Kluyveromyces lactis: one gene and its partners. The protein of the gene in region 3 binds, or shares a complex with, the protein of the main gene of each other region. Links are inferred from orthologs where the notes say so. Each region holds a gene or a part of one and is shown on either strand. Other genes may lie near its edges.

Region 1 (5,653 bases), on a different chromosome or scaffold from region 3:
TGAACAGGATCTCTAACTGTAAGGCTGCTATAGAAGGCACTAAGGATTTGAAGATCGATGGCAGGAAAGTGGCTGTTGATTTTGCAATTCAAAAGAACAGATGGGAGGACTATAAGAACGAACATAAGGAACTGGAAGCGTCTGATGAAGATGAGGAAGAAGAAGAAGAAGATGATGATGATGATGAGGATGATGGTTCTGATTCGGGTGAAGAGGACGCTGACAATCAGGACGACAAAGAAAAAGAAGAAAAAAGTGACATCGTCTTGGATTCTGATGAAGAAATCAGCGAAGAGGAGGAAACACCAGAACAGGATACCGTAAAGAAGAACAGAAAGGAAGATTTCTCTATTTTTGTGCGTAATGTTCCATACGATGCCACTCAAGAATCCTTAGAACGTCATTTCGGCGTGTTCGGCCCAGTAAAATACGCTTTGCCAGTGATTGATAAAGAAACTGGTTTGGCGAAGGGTACTGCTTTCGTTGCATTCAGAAGCGAAGATGCTTACAACGACTGTCTAAATAATGCTCCTGCTACAGGAAGTACATCCCTTCTAATAAGTGATGATGTTTCCCCAGAGTATGTTTATGAGGGTCGTGTTCTTGCAATTTCTCCAACTCTTGATAGAGAATCTGCTGGAAGAATGTTTGAGAGAAATGCCGAGAAGAGAAAAGAAGTTCTTGGTAAGGCACCAGGTGAAAAGGACAGACGTAATCTATATTTGTTAAATGAAGGTAGAATTGTTGCAGGTTCAAAGCTTTCACAGTTGTTAACTCCTGCTGATATGGAAGTCAGAGAAAAATCTTACAAGTTAAGAGTCGAACAATTGAAGAAGAATCCAACGTTACATCTTTCGATGACTAGATTGGCTATCAGAAATATTCCAAGAGCAATGACTGAGAAGGGTCTAAAGGCGCTAGCTCGTAAAGCTGTAGTAGAGTTCGCCAAAGAAGTTAACGAAAACAAGAGACACGCATTGAATAAAGAAGAAATCGTCAGATCTACTAAGGAAAAGTACAAGTTCATGTCTGAAGAAGAAATCGAAGCTCAAAAGAAGAAGGACAAGAAACAAGGTATTGTTAGACAATCTAAAATTATCATGGAAATTAAAGGATCTAGCGGTGGTAGAAGTAGAGGGTATGGTTTTGTTGAATTCAGGGATCATAAAGCTGCGCTAATGTGTCTAAGATGGTTAAATGCTCATGAAGTCAGTAGGGACGAAATCTTAGAAGGACTTACGGATGATGAAAAGAAACAGCTTGATGCAGACAGTTTCAAAAAAAGAAGACTGGTGGTCGAATTTGCTATCGAAAACGCTAACGTTGTGAAGAGAAGAAGAGAAAAGGTCAAAGAATCTAGATTGATATCTTTCAAGAGAAAAAGAGATGATGAAGAGAATAAAGAAGAAGAAAAAGTGGCTCAACCAGTAGAAGAGGAAACAAAATCTGGTCTAAGTAATAATATTAAACAGATTATTGGATCTAAACGTAGAAGAAAGAACAAGGGCCGTTCTTGAATGTAAACAATAGTCAAAGGCAAAAATTCAAAGCATTCCGAAGCAATGAAGTTTCTAGGATATAAAATCTGTATATTAAATAACATGCATTTCAATTATAGAATCATTTTCTCTTTTTCCGTGCTGATCCTCCGGTTGCAGTATTGCTTGTGGGGTTGTTTCCATTACCAGACACAGCAGCTGCAGCGGCAGCTGCCGCTGCTGCTGCCAAGATACGTTTGTTTACACCTAATCCGTTCATGTTCCCATTCTTATTATTATTGTTACCATGCATTGGTTGTTTTTGAGAGTGATTAGCTTGATTATTATCATTGCCGACATTCGTAATGTCGTTATCGTTTGTGTGAATGCGCCTTGGTGGGTATTTGTAGTTGAGACCCTCGAACACATTTTCACAGACAGGAGGGTCGCCGTTGGTGAAATAGACATGGTCTAAAGCGTCGATTGCATCGATTCTCTTGATAGGATCATACTGCAATAGACGGTAAAGAATGTCTAAAGCAGTCTTGTCCTTACCGCCAGCGGTCTGATACCATGCTGTTAAATTGTCACGATATTTTGGCATTTTTGCCAACTGAAGATATTCTGGATAACTGTCGATATTCGGCCATATTTTATGATCTGGCGAACCCATGACTTCCAATATTTTTTGAAACTGATTAGCTTGAAACAGAACACTCTTCTTGGACTCCATCTTGGCCTCTTCACCTTTAAAGATTGGCCTTAAACCGATGAGTTCTGCAAAAATACAACCAACAGCCCAAAGATCTATTGCAGGAGTATAATGTCGAGCTCCAAGTATAAGTTCTGGGGCACGATACCAAATTGTTACAATAACCTTATCACCAGTGTATAAAGTCTGTACCATGTTATTGAATTTTCTCGCTAGACCAAGATCACCGATCTTGACGCAGCCATCAACGGTAACCATAATGTTAGCGGGCTTTAAGTCTCTATGAAGAATCCAGTTCTGATGCAAATAAGAAACACCATCAAGAATTTGCCACATTATTGATTTGAGCATCCTTGGCGGTATTAGTCTCTTTTCAGGATGCGAATGAAAATGGATAATTTGTAAAAGATCATGTTCAGCAAACTCTGAGACCATGTAGATGCTCTTCTTCTCTAGGAATATTTCAACTAATTTCGTTAAATGGTTATTATCCAATTCTCTACAAAGTGACATCTCTCTGCATGCACTTTGTGAGATACCTGTGTAATGCTCGACACCTTCTCTTTCCGTTTTGAACTTCTTAATAGCATAGAACTGAATTTGAGAAGGCTTTCTGGAGTTGTTTGTTATACTCGACGAATTTATCCTTACATTTGTTTCTGATCCACTATTAGACCGTATCTGTGTTGAGTTGCTATTATTTGGAGGTGTGAATCGCTTGTGGGAAGGCTTCCTAAAGTCCATGGTTGTAAGGTTGTCGTTAGCCTCCTGTTGTCTAGTGGATCTGTTGATTGAATTTATATCCAAATTTGAATCAGCACTCACAGAATCCGGAGAATCTAGTATTATTACGTTGTCTCTATTCATACCATTCTGATAATCCCTCGCTTTAGCTTTGTAAACTTTACCATACGTACCAGCTGCAATATACCCGATAATCTCGTACTTTTGTAACACCGAGATTCTTGAACTATCCTTTCGTTGACGGTATGGACCAATAGAGAAAACATTATTACTAGCCATCACAATCGGAGGCTTCGATTGGTTTCCAGCTGGTTTATTGTTATTAAGGATCTGTTGAGAATGGCCCGCTAACATTTCCTGATGTGACAGTTGTTGAGGCCAGCGATTAGTACCCTGGCCTTGGCCGTTATTCATTCGATAATACGACATTTGATATGGATTGGAGTTGTTTTGTTGGTTGCCGTACATTACAGCAGTAAATCGCAGTCTATAAAAAGTGATAGAATGCTGTATCCGCCGAGAGCTTGTCTTTATATTCTCAAAGCGTTCAACGTTTAATCATTTTTCTAATGGATCACTTCGCTTTAAATTCTTATAAAAACGTCAATATAAGAACCATTCGTTGTTCTGTGAAGAAAGAGTCATTAGATAATAAAGTAGCCAACTCTGGCCTGATATGTCGTTGTATCATGAATAAATAGTTAGTCGTAGCTGAATTTATTACTATTATCAAGGATTTGAGACACTAACTGTAAACTAATCGTAGTTGTCTTCATAAATATGATCCATGAAGTTTTATAATAATAAGATGAATGCGAGTCTATATATAAATTAGTCTATTTACATCAGTGCCAATGGAAGATCAGGTTTTAGCTCAACGACGAATTAATGCCCTAAGTTTGGTAAAAGGCATTATTACGAAAGTTCCAACATATGGAGCTGCCCATAAACTGAAAAGTATCCGAGCAGGATACAATACTTTAACAATGGCGTATGCAAGAGCCCCAGATACAACTAATCTATCTCTATCCCAGCCATTATCGTAATCTCCAATTAATTTACCTATACTTTCACCACATTTGTTCAACAAATCCTTGAAATATACTGGCATCTCATATTGGTCAGACAGATCTAAGTTATAAAGCAGTCCCCATAGAGCAAACAAAGGAACGATAGCAGTAATTTCGTGAAGGATTAAGAATGATGTCATTGTAGAAACGGCGCCGGCTTCAGAAAGTTTATCGAAATAATGTTTGTAACGAGGATTACCGTTCAATCTTGTCAGGAATTTGGACTTTTTGATCAGCCGATGCAGCCTATCATCAATTTTCGATGGTTCGACCTTGCTCGAGTTATACCGTATCCCATTGATAAATAATTTCGCCGGGCCTCTCTTTTGGATTATCGAGTACCTATTACCGATTACCATTTTGGAACAGCTAGTGCCAAGCCCTGGCAATGATTGCAGTAATTTCATATTTCTGTGTGTTGGAGTATGTGTATGTCTACAACAAGTACAGCGAGCCCTTCGGAGATCAAACAAAATATTATATAGCAGTGATTACGCCACTATGATGTCTAACAGTCGTTGAATTAATTTATGGTGTGATATCTTTATCGTATTGATAAACCTTCGCATGTCTATGTTCATGCCTGTTGTTAAAAAGAATACTATTTACAAGTGATTTATGTGAAGGTCATGTGATCATAATGCATTAATAACTTCCTCGCAACGATTGCACAGAGTGTCCTCACTTGGGGAGTTATGCTTCCAGCATCTAGGACATTTATCAGACGTACTTTCTTCTAGCAGTAACTGGATGTCAACTGATGGTAGTGAGATCGATTCTAGGTCGGATCTATTACCGTGCTCAATATTTAGTTTACCAACTTGTAATAAATCCTCCATTTCTTCCGCTGTAAATGGTAACAATGAAGGATCTGAACAGTATATGGTTGCTTTCACCTGCAATGTTTTTGTAATATCTTCCATCCTATTAAATTTCTCAGTGAAGATATTCAGAATTTTCAACTCATTCGATGCAAAGCTTTCCAGTCGTTCATCATTAGAAGATGGGACGTCTTGCAATGAGTCCCATTGCCTAGTGAATGGAGTTTCGATTTCCGCCACTCCTTCAGAGGAATTTTCATTAATCCATTCCTTAGGGGTATAATTCCAAACTTCTTGAACCATTATTGGGATGATTGGTGACATTATGCTACGGTAAGTGTCAAGAATATGGAACAATGTCGTTTGAATTGACAATCGTTTCTTGTTATTCAAGGAGTCTGAATATAAGGAGTCTTTTGTGACACTGAAATAAAGTGCGGAAAGATCATTGTTCATGTGGTATTGAACCTGAGTTAAGACATTTGAGAAATTGTACTGTTGATAGAGTTTTTTGGTTTCCTGGCTCAATGCCTTCAGATTTAGTAATGTATACTGGTCCACTCTGCGCAGCTCTGAAAAAGGTATTAATCCGTGACTTTGAGTCTCTTGTAAATTACCTAAGATGAATTTAAACGTTAGTCTAAACTTCTTTAAAGCATCTGCAACATGTTTCATTACAGTTGGGCCAGCAACAACATCAGAAGTAAAGTTTGACTGTGCTACTAATAATCTCAAACCGTCAACGCCCAAAGCCGGAAGATTGGCCTTCGGGTCGCCTTTTATAATGGCACCAGGTGAAATAGTGTTTCCAATTGATTTTGACATTTT
Region 2 (6,214 bases), on a different chromosome or scaffold from region 3:
CTTCAATGAAATTGATGAAAACGCAAAGATGTGGATCACAGATTGTGCAGTGCCACTTTCCAATCTTGCAGCTACTCTCGAAGAATTGGATAAAATCACAGCAACTTACCCTCTAACTCATATGACCTTGGGTCATGTTGGTGACGGGAATATCCACTATGATATTTTCTATGAACCGGATCAGTTTGAAATTTGCAAACAGCTGGTAGCTGAAATCAATGCTGTTACTCTTAAAAATGAAGGTACGTGTTCTGGGGAGCATGGTATTGGAACTGGTAAAAGAAAGTTTTTGGAGGATGAATTAGGATCAGATACTGTCGATCTAATGCGGAAAGTAAAGTTAGCTATAGATCCAAAGAGACTGTTGAATCCAGATAAAGTACTCAAGATCGATCCCTTAGATCCTAGTAACGAATGAAACCACCAACCACAAAAAGGAAAAGATACCAGAGGTGTGAAGCCTCGTATCCTCTGAGAACGCGATCTATAGACTACTAATTTATTTTATTTATATACAGTTGAACTTTTAATGATATTATTATTACTATAGTCATCATTCATTCTATCATTGCCTTCGATCCAAAGTGTTCATCGGCAATATGATTGACAACTATCCAACCGAATGAATTAACAAACCTGCGACGAACAATGATGTTATTATGGGAATCAGGCTGTAGCTCAACGATGACCTTTCTCCAGTCCATTGTCTCCTGCCAGTACCTTGCTATTCGTTCTTCTTTCATATGGATCGAGTAATTGGGATATATTATCTTTTTCACAAGCTTCTTATGTTTGTAGTGTTTATCTGGTAATTCTTCCGGGGTATAAACCTTGTCATGAATAATTCTGTCCGTTCTACTGGAGGGATCCACTAGGTACGACATTCCTGGCAGCGGTGCCGATATTGTACTTGCAGCAGCTTGCAATGTATTTGCCTTTTTTGGAGGTTTGAAAGTAGTTGGAGAGTCAGAATTATTGTTCGAATCACTACTGGCAGATTCTACCGAACTGGTAGTTTGAGTCCGCACATACGGTTTATATTTTTCCTTTTTAATGAGTGACTGGGGCAGCAACCATTGGAGAATAGACTTATTGTCCGAAGAGCTCTCTGGAATTTCCCCCAAAGATGACCCTTTCTGTTCTTCAACTCCCTCCTCAGATTGGGCATTGTTTTCGCTCCTCACCTGTTGCACATCACTTAAACCTCTCCAATCAAGATATAGTAAAGCAGCCGTCCTTAGAGGCACTATACCATCAAATGCGACATTAGCATACACGGTTCTACACTTGAATCGTTGGAAAACTTCTAACGCCGGATGTTTAGGTAAAAGCTCTAATATGGGTTTAGATTTGATTCTATCATGTGATCCATCATTATTTACAATACCTTTTGATGGCAGAAAATAGCTGCGCTTCAATGTGAGATCCCTTCCAGTCTGTCCCAAAGCGCCAATGTCCAGCACGATAGATATGTATTTGGGCAAATCTCCAATGACTCCGAGGAATGGGCTCGCCGCCGCCACAAAATTGACGGGTGTCAAGCCTGTGGTCTTGTCAAATATGTCTGGTCGTTCGACAGAGATATAGTGAATGGCCATAGCTTGCACGGGTCCTCCCAAAGAGTGACCTACAAATGAGATTCTTGTTAAGGTGAATTGCTGTTGAAGTTTATCGATGGTATCGATTATATATTCTGCCAACTTGAATCCTAGATGCCGTATACCTTTATGAGACTTCCCGACGTTTCCAGGATACCCTCTTATTACAAGATTGCCATTATTATCATCTGGCAAAAAGTTCGACGCTCGTTCAATGGTGTCTTTTAAGCAAAGCATATCTCCGCCAATAGAAGAGAAGATGCCATGTGTAATAATTACGAGATGAACTGGCTTATCTGGAAATGGCGGAGGTAAATTCCACAACTGTTCAGTGTCAAGTTTGGAAATTTTCAACCCATCAGTCTGCTGAACTTCTATATTCTTGTCTTTCTGGGAATGTTTAGCAGTTTTGTATGTTGTAGCTAGCGTGAAGACGAATGGAAGCCTTACAATGGTAACGACAGTGAACTGGGCAATAAGGTCAATCTTCCAAGCATAACAAGAAGTACCGTCAACTCGAGCATTAGAATTGAGATAAAGTTTCGCTTTGAAATTCTCATCAGGCTTGAGGTCACTCATGAACTCAATTCCATCTCCTATGAATTGCTTTCTCTCGTCATAATTGTTCGGCGTTATTTCAACATAAATTGAGTATGGTCCAGTTATCCATAACGGCCTCAAAAGCGCGCTCTCCTGGTTTTTGAATTCGAGATAGAGAGTATCGTCAGTACACTCAATTCCGTCAGATAGTAGCTTATTTTTATCTACAATTATCTTATAGCGATTGACATCCCCGATACCAAGTGACCCTGTTTCCCTTAAAAGCAGAATACCACTATCTGATGACTCAGTGTCGTTCTCTTCAGTCAGTTTTATTGCCATCTTGGCATACGCCAACCACTGTTAGCAGAAGTACAGGTTATACTGCGTTTCCAATTGAGAGTGCGCCGCTAATCACGGGGGGTGCGTTTAGCTTTATGCTTTGGTACCTGTCATTCATTGTTTTGTATTGGCAATCTTTTTTGTTTTTGTTTTATAATGATCAAGCGATTCATTATTATAAGTAGTGATAACTCGAGATAAAATCGTATAATTTTAAAAGAAGGTAACTAGACAGCATCTCTTAACAAGTACGGATTTTTGAAGTACCGTTGCATCCTAATCAGTCTGACTATCCAGCTTACTTTTCATCAGAGCAACGGAAACCATGAAAAAGGAGGTTGGGGACGCATGTCGATTGGAGGACATCGTTACCAATTTATACAGGTTAGAAACTGTCAAACAAATAAACTATCACCAATATGTACCTAGCAAGGCAGATAATCAATGGTCAATTCAAGCAGAGTTGTTCCTAAGGAGGAAAAACCCCAAAGTACTTGCAGCTCTTTTTTCCAGGGAGTTATGGTGTTTTAGTATTAACGATGATCCATTACCAGAGTTAAACCTTGAGCTGAATAACGAATCGGAGTCACCCCAGCCAGAGCGGAAGGGTCACTTCACCCCAGAATTCTCAAAACCTCACTTGCCTACCCCATATGCCATCTTTATGAAGGCTCTCAGGCGTATGATATATGTCAATTTGACCCTATCCTCCAATGAAACCATCGTGCCCTTTGGAAACTCATGCATATTTCAGGAATCATATACCTTTTCGACCAAAATCTTACACTTTGATCCACATCTATTTGAAAATGGAGATTTGACTGTTGCAATTTGTTCCAAGGATTTGGGTTTATCGAAGTTGAATGCAGAGAGCCTCAAACATGAAGTGGCTGTGTATTTGGCTCCATCTGGGATCAGAGTGTATTTACCATCCACAGATTTAAAGAAATGTTATGTATCACCACCCAAAAACGCTCAAATGTTTCTCAAGACACTATTTGTCTCCCATGGAATAAATTTAATCGATGTCGACGGTTTGAAATGGGTAAAGCTTATTCCAAATGCTAACCATTTGAATGGCTTCACTCCAACAATATCACATTATCTTGACGAACCAAAAGGAAATAATTTCGTTATCTGGCCGGCATGTCTCTGTTTTGTACAAACAGCATCTGACGTTCAAACTCCTCAATATACTGCATTTTCAAGATCCCCGCAGCTTGAGTTAGATGATTGTTTCGATATGATAGATGGATTTATACAGTTAAAACTCACTTCGGCCTACAGAACGCCTGGAACATCTGCAGGGATGGGAACTGTAACCGGACATAACCCATTAAGTACGGGAGGAATATTTACTGATCAGTTTCAAGGGTTTAATAAGCATTCGGCCAATAACAGCAATAACGTATCTTCAACGGGAGAGAATGGTAAGTTTTCTCCGGAATACTCTAATGATCCAAACGTAACACCTCTGCGAGATAATAAAACTAGTAGACAGAATTTCCCCACAGAGAGTTACAGCAGTAATGGTTTCATTACAACTCCAATAATAAATGAGAATATCACTCCAACCGTTGATGATATTATAACAGAAACTCCTTCCGTAAAACCTCAGAACGATCTTTGGAATGAGAAAAAGGATGTAATAAATAGTACATCCAATATCAACTCAAAGGACGCATCAGTAGGTAGTTCTGAGCGTAAAGTAGAACTGGAAACCGCTTTTGAATCTCCCGCTCAGAATATTTCGATAGAGGAACACGAGCATGTAGAATTCGACAAAGATCTTTTTGGTGAAGATAGCGACGAAGATGTCAGTACGCGAAATAAGAACGAAGAACTGGTATCTGTAAAAGAGATTACTGACGAAATGTTTGATCTAGCCGAAGATGACGATGAGGCTGACGGATCAACTAGTAACTCGTTAAAGTTTGATCGTCCCGACACCATCGAGTCTATTGATACTGACGAAAAGAAGACAAGAACAAAGCGTACCTATTTGGACATACCAGTGGATGTCATTACTATAGAAAAGACACCTACATTATACGAAGATCCAGGAGCACCTTTGCCTATTGAAACCCCAAAAGACAGAAAGAAAAGTATATTCGCACCACTCAATTTCAACCCCATCTTTGAAAGTAATGTGGATAACAAGTACAAGAATGGAGGTAAGTTTTCTGTTAACTCGAACACCAATGACGAACCAATACAATTTGGGATAAGTACAAGTAATATATCAAGCTCAGAAGATGATGATAGCGATTTTTCTCCTGCTGATTTCAACAATAATGGACCATCTGCAGGAAAGGGCTTATCATATGATCCAAGAGACAATGATATACCAATGATCGAGTCATCAACATACGAACCTATTGCAAAGGACTCTCTTCCCGAATTGATAAACCCACCATCTTCTTCCAAAGATGATTCTGTGGCATCTTATAATACGATCGGAACTCTAATGGAAAAACCTGTTAAGTCCAACTTAGACGCAATATGGAAGCCCGCCTTAAGTAAATCAGAAAGAGCTGATCTACCAAACCAGACAATTAATGGGGTCATAAACGACTGCAATAACAGCTCAAACTCAAATCCCACAACTTACTTTGAGAATACGCCTTCTCTCGGACCGGATACTCTATATGATAATTCAAAACCAAGAAGTTCATCAGCTAACTTTCTTTCCACGGTTGAAATCGACCCCAAAAGCGAACAAACTATTCAAACCGCAGAGCAAGAACAATCTGAATCATCTAGAATTCTCCCCTACCTTTTGAGACACATGCCTTTGTTCTCGTTGCCTGACGTGTTCCTTTGTCAGAATCCATCTTTGCCGCCCGGAAAAGACTTCGAGGATATTCTAGAGATTTTGACAGATCAGATAGTCTTCAATAATGATATGTTTTCTGATGATAGGGCAACAGAATCTCAGTTTAAAGGGATCAAGGATTGCTCCGTTGGCACCATCAGCGATACCATGAACCAGCTTTTTGGGAATTTTTCAAAGCTTCACGGAAACGAAATAATAGAGGAAGTCTTCTATTTGCCTGAACCATCAGTGTTTGTGAAGAAATCTGAAGATACAATTAAAATAAAAAGCTCATCGTGTTATTTCACGGAATATTTAAATCTGAAACCCAACCGTGGGGTAAAAAATTTCAGGGCCCTAGTGCTAACCACTGAGGCAAAAAATGATTGCATGTCTTTCGTATCACAAATGTCTCAGACATATTCGAATCATGAGTTAGGGTTCTGTGAACTGACTAAGTTGACTAATGACGATAATAAAGGGTTAATATACTTAAAAAATTTTAACCAAGACACCTTACTACTTCTTTCCGCACAGATTGTATCTTTCTGTTCAACAGCACTCTCAAATATTAAGAACATTCCTTTACTCATCTTTCTCCCCATCAACAAACTTTCATTAACAGAATGTATATCAATGATCCTCAAGTTTCATGTAATCAGGAAGGAGTTCAAATCTAAGTTACCAAAGGCAGATATTTTGTTGAGGCTCGTGAATATAGATTTCCTCAAAAATCCACTTACACCTATCACTGCGTACACTTCATTGTGTATGGCAATCTATAATAGTCTACCACCAAAAAGTACTAAGGTAACGTCCCTAACAAATGATTTACCCAAACAAATTGAGTTCCGGACACTGAAGAATGCCTCCTTATCTATCCATTACGATAACTACATCCATTTGGCATACTTGAGAA
Region 3 (6,371 bases):
GCCGAGACCACAATAGAAATAGAGAGGATGTGAATGTTATCAAAGTATTTAATGGGAAATCTTGGCCCAGTTGAAAAGTAAATATATATGTGACTTATTCATATATCTAAGAGGGATTAGTCTTTTCCAACCTTGCATCGAATAAACCTAAGCTCAAACTGGTATTATTCAATTCGCCTTCCAGTGGCTCTTGATAGTTAACCAAATATTGGAAAGGTTCAATCTTGAAGATACAATCGAACTGAGATGACTTCTTATTGAAGACGAAGTATTTTAAAGCTGAGTTCGTTTTGGCCTGTTTATCACATATACCTAAACGAATTAGACTTGGCTCGTCTTTATCAAGGAATTCATCTTCAGTACCTTCAGAATCTAAGAAAGACGAAATCGCGAATTTCGGCAATTGATTCAAAACGCTTGGCATTTTTATTGAGTGCAGAGCCTGATCCTTTGTTTCGTTTAAAATATAAGACTTTAGAGAAGTTAGGAGATCATAAAGTAGTAGCTTCAACTTCAAGTCTTTACCGGTGTTATGGAACAAAGTATAGAAATTGTCAACCATATAGTGATCACGGAGCTCAATTGATTCAAAACAATGTCTCAATATGAACTTCTCATGAATGATAACGATCTTTAATAGCTCGTTCAAGTTTTCGTCGTATTTCTTTAATGTATCGTTAGGCATTTTTGCAAATGTAGCAATAGTATTTTTGAACAGTTCCAAAACCTCTGAATCCATCCCCAGGCTTGACATATTTACCAGATGCCTGCTTAGTACAATTTCTGTATCCATCATTATATGCAAGAAGACTAACGCAGATTTTTCTGTCTCCAAAACTCTTGCTAAAAATTGTCTTTCAATAACTGTCAAAAGGGTCGACACTTGTTTTTTGTCTGAGATATTACTGAATATTTTTGGTAATAATGAGTTGTAACCAATTGCGCCGACGATGCTGGAGAAAAAGTCCGATAGATCTTCAGCATTAGAGTTTTTTACATTGAATTCGGTGAGTATCTGGAACAACCAAGTATTGGTGAAGTTCAAATACCGATATAGATCAATGGTGTTGTCTATTGCTTCATTTTCGATATTCATTCCATATATCAACATATCTCTAATGATAGACATGTTTTTCTCTTCTCTTAAAATGTGGCTGACAACTTGAGCAGATTTTTCACTCAAATTTGAATTTGGACCATATTCCACTAGCATTCTCACTAAAGTGTCCCTGAATGTAGGTCGACTGAAAAGTTGAAGAGTGATTTGTTTGAAATTCCTCTTGACAAAGGCATTCTTTTCATTTTCGAAATTTAGACCATAATTAAAGCTTACTTGTGACACTAATTCACATAATAAATCAAAATGTGATGTCTTCTGAATTACCTCAAAACTTAGTAATTTTAATGAAATAAGTTTTAATAATTCATGAACAGTGAAGTCTCCTCTTTTCACAAAAATTGACAAAAACTTATTATACTCTGAGGCGTGTGAGGCCTTGCATAGTAACAAGAGTTTTCTACAATTGGATTCATCTTCGGGATTATGAAGAACCTTTTTAATATTTTGCTGGATCACACTAGGAAAGTTCTGCTCTTCAAACTTCGTATTCTTATTACCGGTTATTTCCAGGTATAACGACACCGTTTCGTTTGGCATTTTAGTAAAGTGATCTTTCCGGTGTCTCTCTAACTCGAAAACTTCAGCAATTTGATTCTGCAACGACGAGTCCATTTCAATCATGTTTGCACAATTCTTAACGAAAAACTTCCAAAAACTCTTAAAATTTATCAATTCAAAAGCTGCTTTGTCTTTTATCCGTAGATCCCTCATATAACTGTGTAATAATGTCTTCATAAATAAAATATGATCATTGATAAGTAAAAGAAAAGCTTTGTCCAAATAAAGCAAAATGTCAGTGAATACTTCTAAGTTTTCAAGGTCATCAATTAATTGATGATAAACAATATACTCAGCCCACCCAAAAAAGTGATGTAACTCTCCTAGATTGATACAAAAAAGTTGGAATGTTTTGATGATCTTATGATTATTGACCTTCTGAAGTTCCCCTTGATTAAAACAGATTTGAGATAAATACCATTCGGAGCACATAATCCGTATGCTTCCTGGATACTCCTCAAGCCTTTCAAAATCACCACTAAGAAGTTTAGGTTTAAGGCTTTCAAAGATCGACACTAACTTGTCAAAATTGTACTTCTCATAAAAGTGAGGAGCGTACTCCATAACATTCTTTAACACCATGTTATATTGCGACTTCATAATAGGTGATATCTTTAAATTGATAAGGAGTTTACAGTGGAAATTTTTATTCTCGGATTCTGGCAAATAGAGTACACCAGAACTTATCAAACGTCTGATGTATGTTGGGACTTTAATTATTCCATAACCAATAAAGACATTCAAAAGTTGATGCAACTTCGGAAGCCATACGATTTTCTGCAATTCTAACTTTGATAATTTAGAAAAATGGAAAATAAGACTCCATATAACATCCTCAATGCTGTATTCTTGGAATGATTCTTGAGAATTGATTTTTAAAACTAATATTTTCGCAACTAAATGACAACTGTCATATCGATGCTTACGTGAAGGATTGATTGCCCATAGAATAATTTCAATGACCTGTTCCATTTTCGTAATTTTTTGGTCAATAAATAAGCTCCACTCTGAGCCTGAAAGGCCACTATCTAATACACCGAGTAATTCTGGGCTCACATTCTTGAGATTCAAAATATTTCCTGAGAAAACATTGTCTAAGGTAAGTTCAGTGCTGAAAGGAGAGGTTTCTCGAGAAGGTTCCACATCAAGGGATCCCAACCGTAACGATTCATTCCTATATGATATCAATTTCAATTTCTTTTTTAACTTTGGGGTCTCTTCATCAGAGACATTCTGAAGTAATATTTGATACAAGTAATTCTTATAGATGTTCCAATTTTGCTTTGGCATGATGAACGCTTCTAAGGATTGAGTATGGAAAATATGGGAAATAAACTGCCGCAACCGTAATAAAACAGACTCTTTGAGTTTTGAATTTCTCTGGACATCATTTATGATATACTTCGAGTCATTAATCATACACTTGGACTCAGATATGATGTGGTACTTTCGTAATAGAATTTCTGAAAGCTTTATTATCAAAAACGATGATTCTATTTCTGTATCTTCTTCTGTTGTCCCAAGAATTCCACTCCAGAAGATAGAAAGGATATGCAATGTCATAGGATAGAATTCGAAGCTCTCTATTTTACTTAAAAAATCTACCAGCCATTGATGCAAAGTAGATCTGTTTAATAGTTCCATTTCATAACAGTTACCTAGAATCTTCAAATAATGAGCGATGCGTAGCTTCCAATATTTCAACTGCCCCGGATCATTGTAATATTTACTGACTTCAAAAACCAATTTCTCAAGGATAAGGACCATATTATCGGTCCAGTCTTTGTACAAAGTACTAAGAAGCTCTTCATGGGTGGTTTCTCCTTTGGCTTTTGAGATCATTCCTTTCCATTCAATAGCATAGCAACTTTTGATTAGCCATATGACACGATATATTGGAACGAATTGTGTGTAGCATTGTTCCAAAATGTGCCTTTTCCTAAATCCATGAGGAACAGATTTAGTTAATTTCCGCAATGATGTGTTCGATGAGCTTAATTCCTGAAGCCACAGATTCCTCTTTTGATCTGTAAGCGTGACTCTGTTAGGCAAATGAAAATCTTGACCGGACCATTTAGTGAACCTTGTACTGTCTTCTATGTCCAGTGTACTTATCCTATTAATTTCTTGTTCTCGTATCTCAATAATCTTGGATAATTCATCTCCTAACAATGAGGAAACTTTGGGAAGTGATCCTTGTAAAGCTGAACGAGCAGAAATGGTTTCAAAGTTTACCCTAGAAGCAGTATAGTAGCCTTTTGCCACGAACTCTTTAAGTATCTTATCCTCCTCTTTGGTGTGAATCCACGGATCAAAATCAGGATAGATTTGTGGGTTGGAGTCGGTGAGCGGATGTAATTCCTCCGGAGGAGTTAGTAAATATTTTGACGGTGACATCAGAAGTATCTAGCGGTTATTCTCTGACTACTTATATGTGTTAACAAGCACTAGTTAAGACAGTTTAACCTGCCTAAGGTACTTTGAAGGTTTATAGTGTTTCAGTGATTCTGAACGATCAATCACATATCAATTTAAGGTAAAGAAAGTTCTAAAGTGGAGGAAAAACACTGCTCGAACAATAAATAACATGTCACATGATCAACTCATCAGAAGAGGCAAAATAGATAGTAAGTATAAGATCATTAGTGCCTTCTCAAATATCACTTAGACGAGCCCCAAGAATGGGGTACAGTTACTATGATCTTTTTACTTATTTAGTGATAATATGCTATTTACTGTCTGCTTCTTTGCTGGTTTGGAGTTGTTTGATACAACCCTTGTACGTATCCTTCAAAGTGTCTTCAATAGAGAATAATTCAGACAACTTTTCTTCGTCAAGGTAAGCAGATGGTTGATAACCATCAATGTCACGACTGAGGTCAGTGTCAATATGTTGTGACCAGAATTTCTGTTCACCCTTACCAACTAGAAGGTTAATTGCTATACCCTCAGTATTAGCCCTTGCAGTTCTACCACAACGATGAACATATTGTTGAGAGGAGATCGGTAGATCATAGTTTATCACATGAGTAATTTCATTTATATCGATACCTCTAGCCATTATGTCCGTTGAAATTAAAACTGATTTCTTTTGTTCTGAGGATGCAAATTCCTGTATTAGTTTTCTGCTACTACCCTTCGAGATGTTCGAATGAATTGATGAAAGGAACATATTATACTCATCTTCAATTATTCCTGATCCTAACATGGCATGTAATAAGCTTTCTAATCTGATCGAAGCTTCGTTACTCTTCACAAACACTAATATTTTAGCGTTTCTCGAAGCACTGCTCTTGATGTCGTGTATTATTCTTAGTAAGAGTAGTGGCTTGAACAGACTCTTAGCAGTAGGAATATTGACATTGAGTTCTTGCAATTTCTTAGGTATTGAATATAATTTAACAGAATCTGTGAGGAAGATCTTGGGGTTGTGGAGATACAAATTGTACAACTTTTCTGCATTCGTAGTCAAAGTAGCAGAAAAGACCATTTTGATTACGTTTCCTGGACGTTTATCCTGCTTATCGTTTGTCAAATGGTGGAAAAGCACTTGGTTCCAATTTTGGAATGACTGATTTAATAGTCGGTCTGCTTCATCAAGGACTAAGAACTTCAAAGTTTTTAGGTCAAATGATTCCATCTGCAAGTGATCGACCAGTCTGCCCGGAGTGATGATTAGAATGTCTGGAGAGTTATACAAAAATTTGTTGTGTTCTTCTTTCAAGGAGTTCTCGAGTTTCGACATTGATACATTGAGACTGGTCCCTTGACTTAGTTTAGAGAGACAATCGTAGACTTGATGAATTAAAATTTTAGTAGGAACCAAAATTATTGCCCTAACTTTATTCACTGTTCTAGATCTCAAAATTTGAACCAAAGGGACAGAATATGCTAAGGTCTTACCGGAACCAGTTGATGCGTTTACTAATATATCACCAACTCGTCTTGTGAAAAGTTTTCTGTTTGCTTTAAAAGATGAGTTTAGAAGCGGGAGCACTTTATCGAATAGAATGGTCTGAATAGGGAACGTTTCAGATGAGAAATTGGAGGTAATATTTTTAAGCAGACGTGCATCTAATTCACCTTCGTAGCTATCGAATTGTTTAACCATTTTACTATCGTAATGAATTTTGGTTGCTGCATCCCACGCAGTGGATTTATATGTAGACGGATCTAGAAGCTTCAAGGCTTCATTGGTCACTTTGGCCGGTTGAGGAATTGGGGTAAGACTGTGAACATCTTTCATGGATACGTCCTCATCGTGTACATCGTTGTCACTACTGACCTTGTCTGAAGCGCTCAACGCACCTTGCAGGGAAAGAGTCTGTTGAAATCTATTTAATACGGAACTGTGCTTTGCATCAACTGATTGCTGAGAAGTTTCTGTAGGCGCAACAGATGCAACCTTGTTTTCATCTTGCTCACTAATTGTATCGGAATCATCCTCACTGCTGGAAGCATCATCCTCACTGCTGGAAGCATCGTCCTCACCAGAGCCTTCATCATCAGTTTCCGCATCTCTTTTCCTCTTTTGGGGCACAGTGGGTTCTTTTATTTGTGTGACTTCAGCTGTTAGTACATTTTCAGTCACCTTAGTAGGATCAAACCTTGCAGCAAACATGTTATTGACTGGATGCTATCGTTATGCTGTCGCTATGCTGTTACTGACCTTCTAAATTCCTGAAGCTCATCG
Region 4 (4,912 bases), on a different chromosome or scaffold from region 3:
TTGGCAAACAAAAAAAAATTCCCGAGATGGTATCCTAACTAATATACAATGCGGGAACCTCACAGAATAATGAAATGACAGACACTCTGCTTCTGCTTCACTAAACTTTTGGACTCGCTTTCTTTTGAACTTGTGCTTCCACTTTTCCTACTTCTACTCTTTATAAATACACGTTAACATTGTTAGTTAAGATTTGATTTCGAGTTTCATGTTTAACTCTCGAAATCATATTGCCGTTCGTTCACTTTTTTTTTTCTTTTCTGCGCATGAATAGCTCTAGATTATTTGGCAGATATCGCTTCGCCAAAGATATTTTTGGTGTTAAAGAGAAATAGAAGTTGCAAATGCAGCTCTTGGAGTGAGGCTTCTACTTGTCCTCTAGTTGACTGTGATTGCGAACTAAATTTTTTTTGTGCGTACAATGTGTATATTTCTCAGTGTCTGCATTTCTGTGATTCTTCCGTGAGTTGTCCAATATAATTTCATTTCGTTCTTATGCGATATATCCTTGATGCGTGGTTGATCTTGAATGCTACGTAATTTGTTATGTATGTACAGGTGTGAACTGAACGAAATCTTTTCGGCTTCAGAATCACTGAATTGCTGGTGTTTGTTGACGGAGGTATAACTCGTGTAGGAGCGCTCTGATCCGCAGTTCATTGTATTTGTCCCAATGGTCGTATAGTGATATGAGTTCTTGAAGGATAAACATCACTTGTTCCAAATTAACTTGAGTTTCAGCGATGAACATGTTGATGTTAGCACGCTTTGTACTGTCCTCTGGCTTGTGAATGATGCAAGACACTGCAAATAGACAACTTATGGCGATCACGTGCGGTGAATAGAGTAAATGGACATCGGTCGTATAACTATCGTTAATCAACGACCATATTTTCTGAAGCTCATCGTCTGAGAGTTTATAGTTGTACTTTTCGGATGATAATGCCTTCTCGATCTGTTCTAGAGACCGGTACGGATGGTGTACAATCAAATATGATTGCAATTCCTCGATTAAATAAAACTCAAACTCGGTCACTTTTGTCACATCCGGTGGAATAAACTCTGGCCATAGAGACCTCGCCTCGTTGACTAGCGTTCTTATATGCTGCGGACATTCTTCCACTTTGCAAGCCAAATAGATGCAGGTGGTGATTAAAAGATACAGGTTCACTTCCCTGACACTAGCTCGAAGCAAAAATCGGCTCAAATAAACATGTGCTGTAACAAGTGCACACTGCCGTATATTGAGCCTCCTGCCCAACTTCATTATAAGGAAATAGCAGTATATCCTCAAATTGTAGTCTCGATCATAATGCAGATCTCGCTGTGTAACCGGAATGTTTGTCGTCACCTGCTTGTTCGCCTTCGAATCGTGAATCGTAACATTCAAACCTTGTGGGAATAATTGGCATTCCAACAGCCAGAGTTTCTGCTTCTCCTTAGCCAAGGATTCCCTAGTATACTTCCACTTGTGCCTCTGACTCGAATCCCAGTATGAGGCGCTCATTTTGGAAAGATAATCTTCTAGCTGTTCAATGAATAAGGGGGGGAAAGGTATTTTTTATCCTCCAGTGAAATTTGTACTGCCTTTTGTTGTCGGAATCCTTTGTTCAAAGTACCTAACCCGATTCGGTTCTTACTACCTTACCGTTCGCTATTCTTCAATTCATCATCAAGTACATTATGATAAGCTGACCGTTGCAGCCCTAAATTTCAGGTCGTTAAGAAGTCGGGTAACCTTTTTGAAAATTTTTTGGAAAAAAGTTAAACATTCAACTATATGAACCAAACATCAGCACTTCAAACACTTACTTTTAATTAAATGTTTTCTAGTGTTGTCTTTTGTTGTTGTTTGTTTCGTAAGTCGAGGGTTTTGTAGTCGAAGAATCGTCACTGATCGAAGCTTACATAAGGAACGGATTTTATCTGTTCAATTGAAATGATATCATTTCTATAGCTTTGGGTAGAAAGTCTCCGACCAGTCCGTAAGCGGAAACGTAATGAGATTTAAAAACTTTTCAAATGTTTAAATCAACTCATTAATCGTGTTGGTTTTCTGTCACGGTTTCTATCCAGAGGCTGTTTTAGAAGCCTCTGTGTCTTGGGTACTGAAGTATTTCTTTACTTTAAACGAAAGTTATGACGATTGCCCGAGCGTTTTTATCTCTTTTTTTGTTACTTCTGTTTACAGGGGTGATTAGGGAGGAGGTAGCTTGGGTAACCCAATGGAGCTTACTTTCTCGGCTCACGAAACTCTCCATCCTTTTTTCAATCATCAAACAGCTTGAAGTGGATTCGTTTCAAATTTATTTTGAACTTTTCGATACTTACGCATAGTCAAATATGCCAAGCTGCCCTGATTATTTATTATTGTATCATTTATTGCCTTGGATTATACTCAGTTGAGTATCCTCTCATATCAAGTGCTACAAGGAAGAATTTCAAAAGATCCAGCCGTCATCTTTCCCTCTTCATTTTAGGATTTTTAACGTGATGAAATAACAATGCAACATAGAGTCAAGCTCTGAGCTTATATAGCATGGACGAGACTTGCTTTTTACAAACGTACTGATCAAATTTCCTTGATGATAAAGAAGAGTTATTGACTGCGGTCTAGAGTAGTACTGTATGTATCTTCTCTGTTTTGATTTTTTCTTGAACGCTGTTAGCACCGCACCATCTAGTATGAGTCCGGCTAACCATTTGCTATGAGTTGTAAACATGTGTAGTACTAGAATCATCTACTTGTTAGTGTGGTTTTCCCATCGAGTAAGTATCTCTTGTATTTCTTTGCTTTCCATTTACGGAACTACTACCTACCATTTCTATCTATCAGCTGAACTACATAACGTGGCACAAAAAGTGATCTTCCTATCCATATCTAACTTTGTCTCAAGCTGCTCACCTCTAATGTTACATAGCTATCTTCTATTTCTGCCCTGGAGTAAAAGAGGCTTTTTATTTCTGATCGTGAACTGATCATCAGATGGTTTTCTACTTGTTACTACCCATAAGTTCTAATGCATAAATCAACATGGTTGAATAAATGTTGCACCAATTCCAAAAGGACCATGAATCAACCACGATCTTTGGCTCTGTTTCGTATGGGAAACATCCCCATATACAGAGATCATTTTTCAATTGACCGCTATACCGTAGAATCAAATGCGTGTACATTGCAATAATGATGCATGGTGAATACCAGTACACAAAATTCATTATTCTTCTGAAACTTCTACGTTCTTTTGTATTTCTCTGCAATGTCGGTATAATACGTGTTGCACTGTAAAATATCAGTAGTCTGAACACTAAATTTATTACAACTGCTGGTATTAGACTTTCTTTGGCCATCTTGAATGTCACAACGAATATTTCTTGGATACTTATCGGTACGCTTTTAGTGAAATTCTTCACTGAGTTCCACAAAGGATTTAGAATCCATTTACATTGGTCCATCATTTTAATATATTTATGGTTCCGAGGCGTGTGTTCTACTATCTGACTCCAGATGGCGCGATAATTTTTAGTCATGAGTTCCAAAAGATTATCCTTCTTGGGCAAATTAGCCTGATGGATTTTCCATGTTTCCTTAACGATATCGAATATTTCGTCCATGGCATTCATCGCCATCTTAGGACTTATTTCGTAAACATTGCGAACCATATAAGCAAAAAACAACGAGCTTTCCATCACTGACCCTGATCCGTTTATACCATATAATCCGATACCACAAACAATTGAGAATGTGAACCCAAGTAGTGAAGCACTTGGTGTGGAGAGTTCCCACATTGGAGTGACATATATTCTGTAAAAGTAAAATAGTGATAGCGTAATAATTCCCCCACTGATCAACAAACTCAGAATAACCCATTGATTACTTCTTCTAGACATCTTGAGCCATCTCTCTGTCTCCCCTATGGCTTGAATGGCGAGAATGGTGAAAACACCCTCCAGTAGAGTGAACACTGGAGTCGAATGTATCAATGATAGCTGCCATGGCTTCACCATCACATTCCAAAATACTTTGAAGTACTCGGAATCGACAGTATCAGAGTCGATGTTTTCAAAGTATGACAAAAACATGAATAAAATTGAAGGAATGAGAAGATGCTGCAAATAATAAATCAGGGTTGACAACGCTGATCCGCGGTCCAGTAATACTAGCTTGAAAGTCGTTGAAACAAAATACAGAGCAAATAACGTTACAGTAAATGACAATCCACAGTTCAGCCCACCAACTTGGAAACTTATCGGAATGGTAATCAGCACGAGAAATAGATACATTGTCGTGAGAAATATCCGCAGAGTTTGAAGCACACTCTTCTTTATTAGTGGCATCTTGGAAACGTTGAATTTTGCACAGTGACGGGCTATTGTTGATGGCTCAAGCCTTCTTTCTTGACTCCTTCGTCTTCTGGTTTGCTTGAAGATTTCCATCGTAATTCTATGTAACATTATTTTTTTTGTTTGTATTATATAAGTTTATGAAAACAGTCAGTTTACAGGCGCAGTAGTAAAAGGAATGGAACGTACCAAAAAGGTAAACAGTATGACGAGCACACTACTTTGAACTTGTTTAATCGCTTCTCAAGGTAGACGTAATCTTTGAGGTGTTTCAGGTCTGCTGTGACATGACTTTACGGTAGGAAGGGGTCGACACTTCTTTTCAAGTACCTGGACCTGATGAGATCATTAAACACGGATGAAAAATTGAGCATCTAAGATTATAAGATGCGATGAGATGACATGAGATGAGCAGTATATTAAATTGACATCATATTAATTGTATTTGGTTATTGCTGGAGTAGTAGAAAAGTGTCATTTATTTGGTAAAGGAATCCTCAAACATGAGTAAAATCAGAGCTGGTCCAAAATCTGGTAGAAAACAGTTGAGAGAGATCACTAGAGCTGG

What was found.
Region 1: the proteins of SRB8 (region 3) and SSN3 are in contact, whole or in part, in a cryo-EM structure (PDB 7KPV), measured with the Saccharomyces cerevisiae proteins. The link is inferred for Kluyveromyces lactis from reciprocal best matches to the Saccharomyces cerevisiae genes SRB8 and SSN3. Residues at the interface, in NP_010004.1 of Saccharomyces cerevisiae: Gly4, Ser5, Gly6, Tyr8, Leu9, Leu10, Thr11, Lys34, Pro35, Trp36, Glu37, His38, Glu42, Asp43, Ile45, Leu46, Ala47, Phe49, Val50, Ala51, Lys52, Gly53, Phe54, Tyr55, His56; in NP_015283.1 of Saccharomyces cerevisiae: Asn216, Trp268, Asp272, Ser275, Tyr276, His278, Gln279, Asn280, Trp281, Phe311, His312, Asn313, Met314, Leu315, Thr317, Ala339, Arg340, His341, Thr343, Pro344, Tyr402, Lys405, Tyr406, Pro407, Pro448, Ile449, Asp453, Phe455, Leu458, Val470.
Region 2: the proteins of SRB8 (region 3) and SSN2 are in contact, whole or in part, in a cryo-EM structure (PDB 7KPV), measured with the Saccharomyces cerevisiae proteins. The link is inferred for Kluyveromyces lactis from reciprocal best matches to the Saccharomyces cerevisiae genes SRB8 and SSN2. Residues at the interface, in NP_010004.1 of Saccharomyces cerevisiae: Leu75, Val76, Ser79, Leu82, Ser83, Phe86, Asp87, Ile90, Lys99, Ser102, Ser104, Thr105, Leu108, Leu140, Lys168, Arg169, Ile171, Lys175, Met223, Tyr227, Leu233, Trp236, Lys237, Leu244, Lys245, Gly248, Asn249, Tyr251, Ser252, Leu253; in NP_010731.3 of Saccharomyces cerevisiae: Ala5, His126, Lys128, Leu129, Ser138, Ser140, Val142, Pro143, Tyr145, Val147, Leu163, Ala165, Ser288, Gly289, Asp290, Phe294, His295, Cys296, Leu297, Asp299, Ala300, Leu301, Ala303, Ile304, Asp306, Phe307, Ile308, Leu310, Lys311, Gln312.
Region 4: the proteins of SRB8 (region 3) and SSN8 are in contact, whole or in part, in a cryo-EM structure (PDB 7KPV), measured with the Saccharomyces cerevisiae proteins. The link is inferred for Kluyveromyces lactis from reciprocal best matches to the Saccharomyces cerevisiae genes SRB8 and SSN8. Residues at the interface, in NP_010004.1 of Saccharomyces cerevisiae: Asp14, Leu16, His17, Pro18, Tyr19, Val20, Pro21, Ser22, Val29, Tyr30, Pro31, Asp32, Phe33, Lys34, Pro35, Tyr55, His56, Pro58, Met59, Val60, Asn61, Phe62, Glu63, Ser64, Ile65, Ser66, Ala67, Arg68, Ser70, Val71; in NP_014373.3 of Saccharomyces cerevisiae: Ser2, Gly3, Ser4, Phe5, Trp6, Arg11, Tyr79, Met83, Arg87, Arg92, Gln93, Ser183, Leu184, Lys185, Gln186, Ile187, Val190, Pro195, Phe196, Ser202, Leu205, Gln206, Asn207, Trp209, Ser210, Leu211, Asn213, Asp214, Pro225, Pro226.

The regions. Positions count from the first base shown.
Region 1 is NC_006040.1:1,005,620-1,011,272, forward strand, and holds SSN3 (cyclin-dependent serine/threonine protein kinase SSN3), read right to left. Parts: upstream 3,403-5,653; coding exon 1,621-3,402; downstream 1-1,620. Other genes in the region: mRNA-binding ribosome biosynthesis protein NOP4, read left to right, coding at 1-1,517; MRX11 (Mrx11p), read right to left, coding at 3,809-4,411; isoleucine--tRNA ligase ISM1, read right to left, coding at 4,640-5,653. UniProt on the Saccharomyces cerevisiae protein: Component of the SRB8-11 complex. The SRB8-11 complex is a regulatory module of the Mediator complex which is itself involved in regulation of basal and activated RNA polymerase II-dependent transcription.
Region 2 is NC_006038.1:106,975-113,188, reverse strand, and holds the start of SSN2 (Ssn2p), read left to right. Parts: upstream 1-2,805; coding exon 2,806-6,214. Other genes in the region: KLLA0_B01397g (FAD-binding oxidoreductase), read left to right, coding at 1-418; KLLA0_B01375g (putative hydrolase), read right to left, coding at 558-2,480. UniProt on the Saccharomyces cerevisiae protein: Component of the SRB8-11 complex. The SRB8-11 complex is a regulatory module of the Mediator complex which is itself involved in regulation of basal and activated RNA polymerase II-dependent transcription.
Region 3 is NC_006042.1:661,564-667,934, forward strand, and holds SRB8 (Srb8p), read right to left. Parts: upstream 4,076-6,371; coding exon 107-4,075; downstream 1-106. Other genes in the region: Zn(2+) transporter ZRG17, read left to right, coding at 1-33; putative ATP-dependent RNA helicase DBP6, read right to left, coding at 4,407-6,299.
Region 4 is NC_006041.1:737,219-742,130, forward strand, and holds SSN8 (cyclin-dependent protein serine/threonine kinase regulator SSN8), read right to left. Parts: upstream 1,508-4,912; coding exon 593-1,507; downstream 1-592. Other genes in the region: ICE2 (Ice2p), read right to left, coding at 2,995-4,455; rRNA-binding ribosome biosynthesis protein UTP25, read left to right, coding at 4,848-4,912. UniProt on the Saccharomyces cerevisiae protein: Component of the SRB8-11 complex. The SRB8-11 complex is a regulatory module of the Mediator complex which is itself involved in regulation of basal and activated RNA polymerase II-dependent transcription.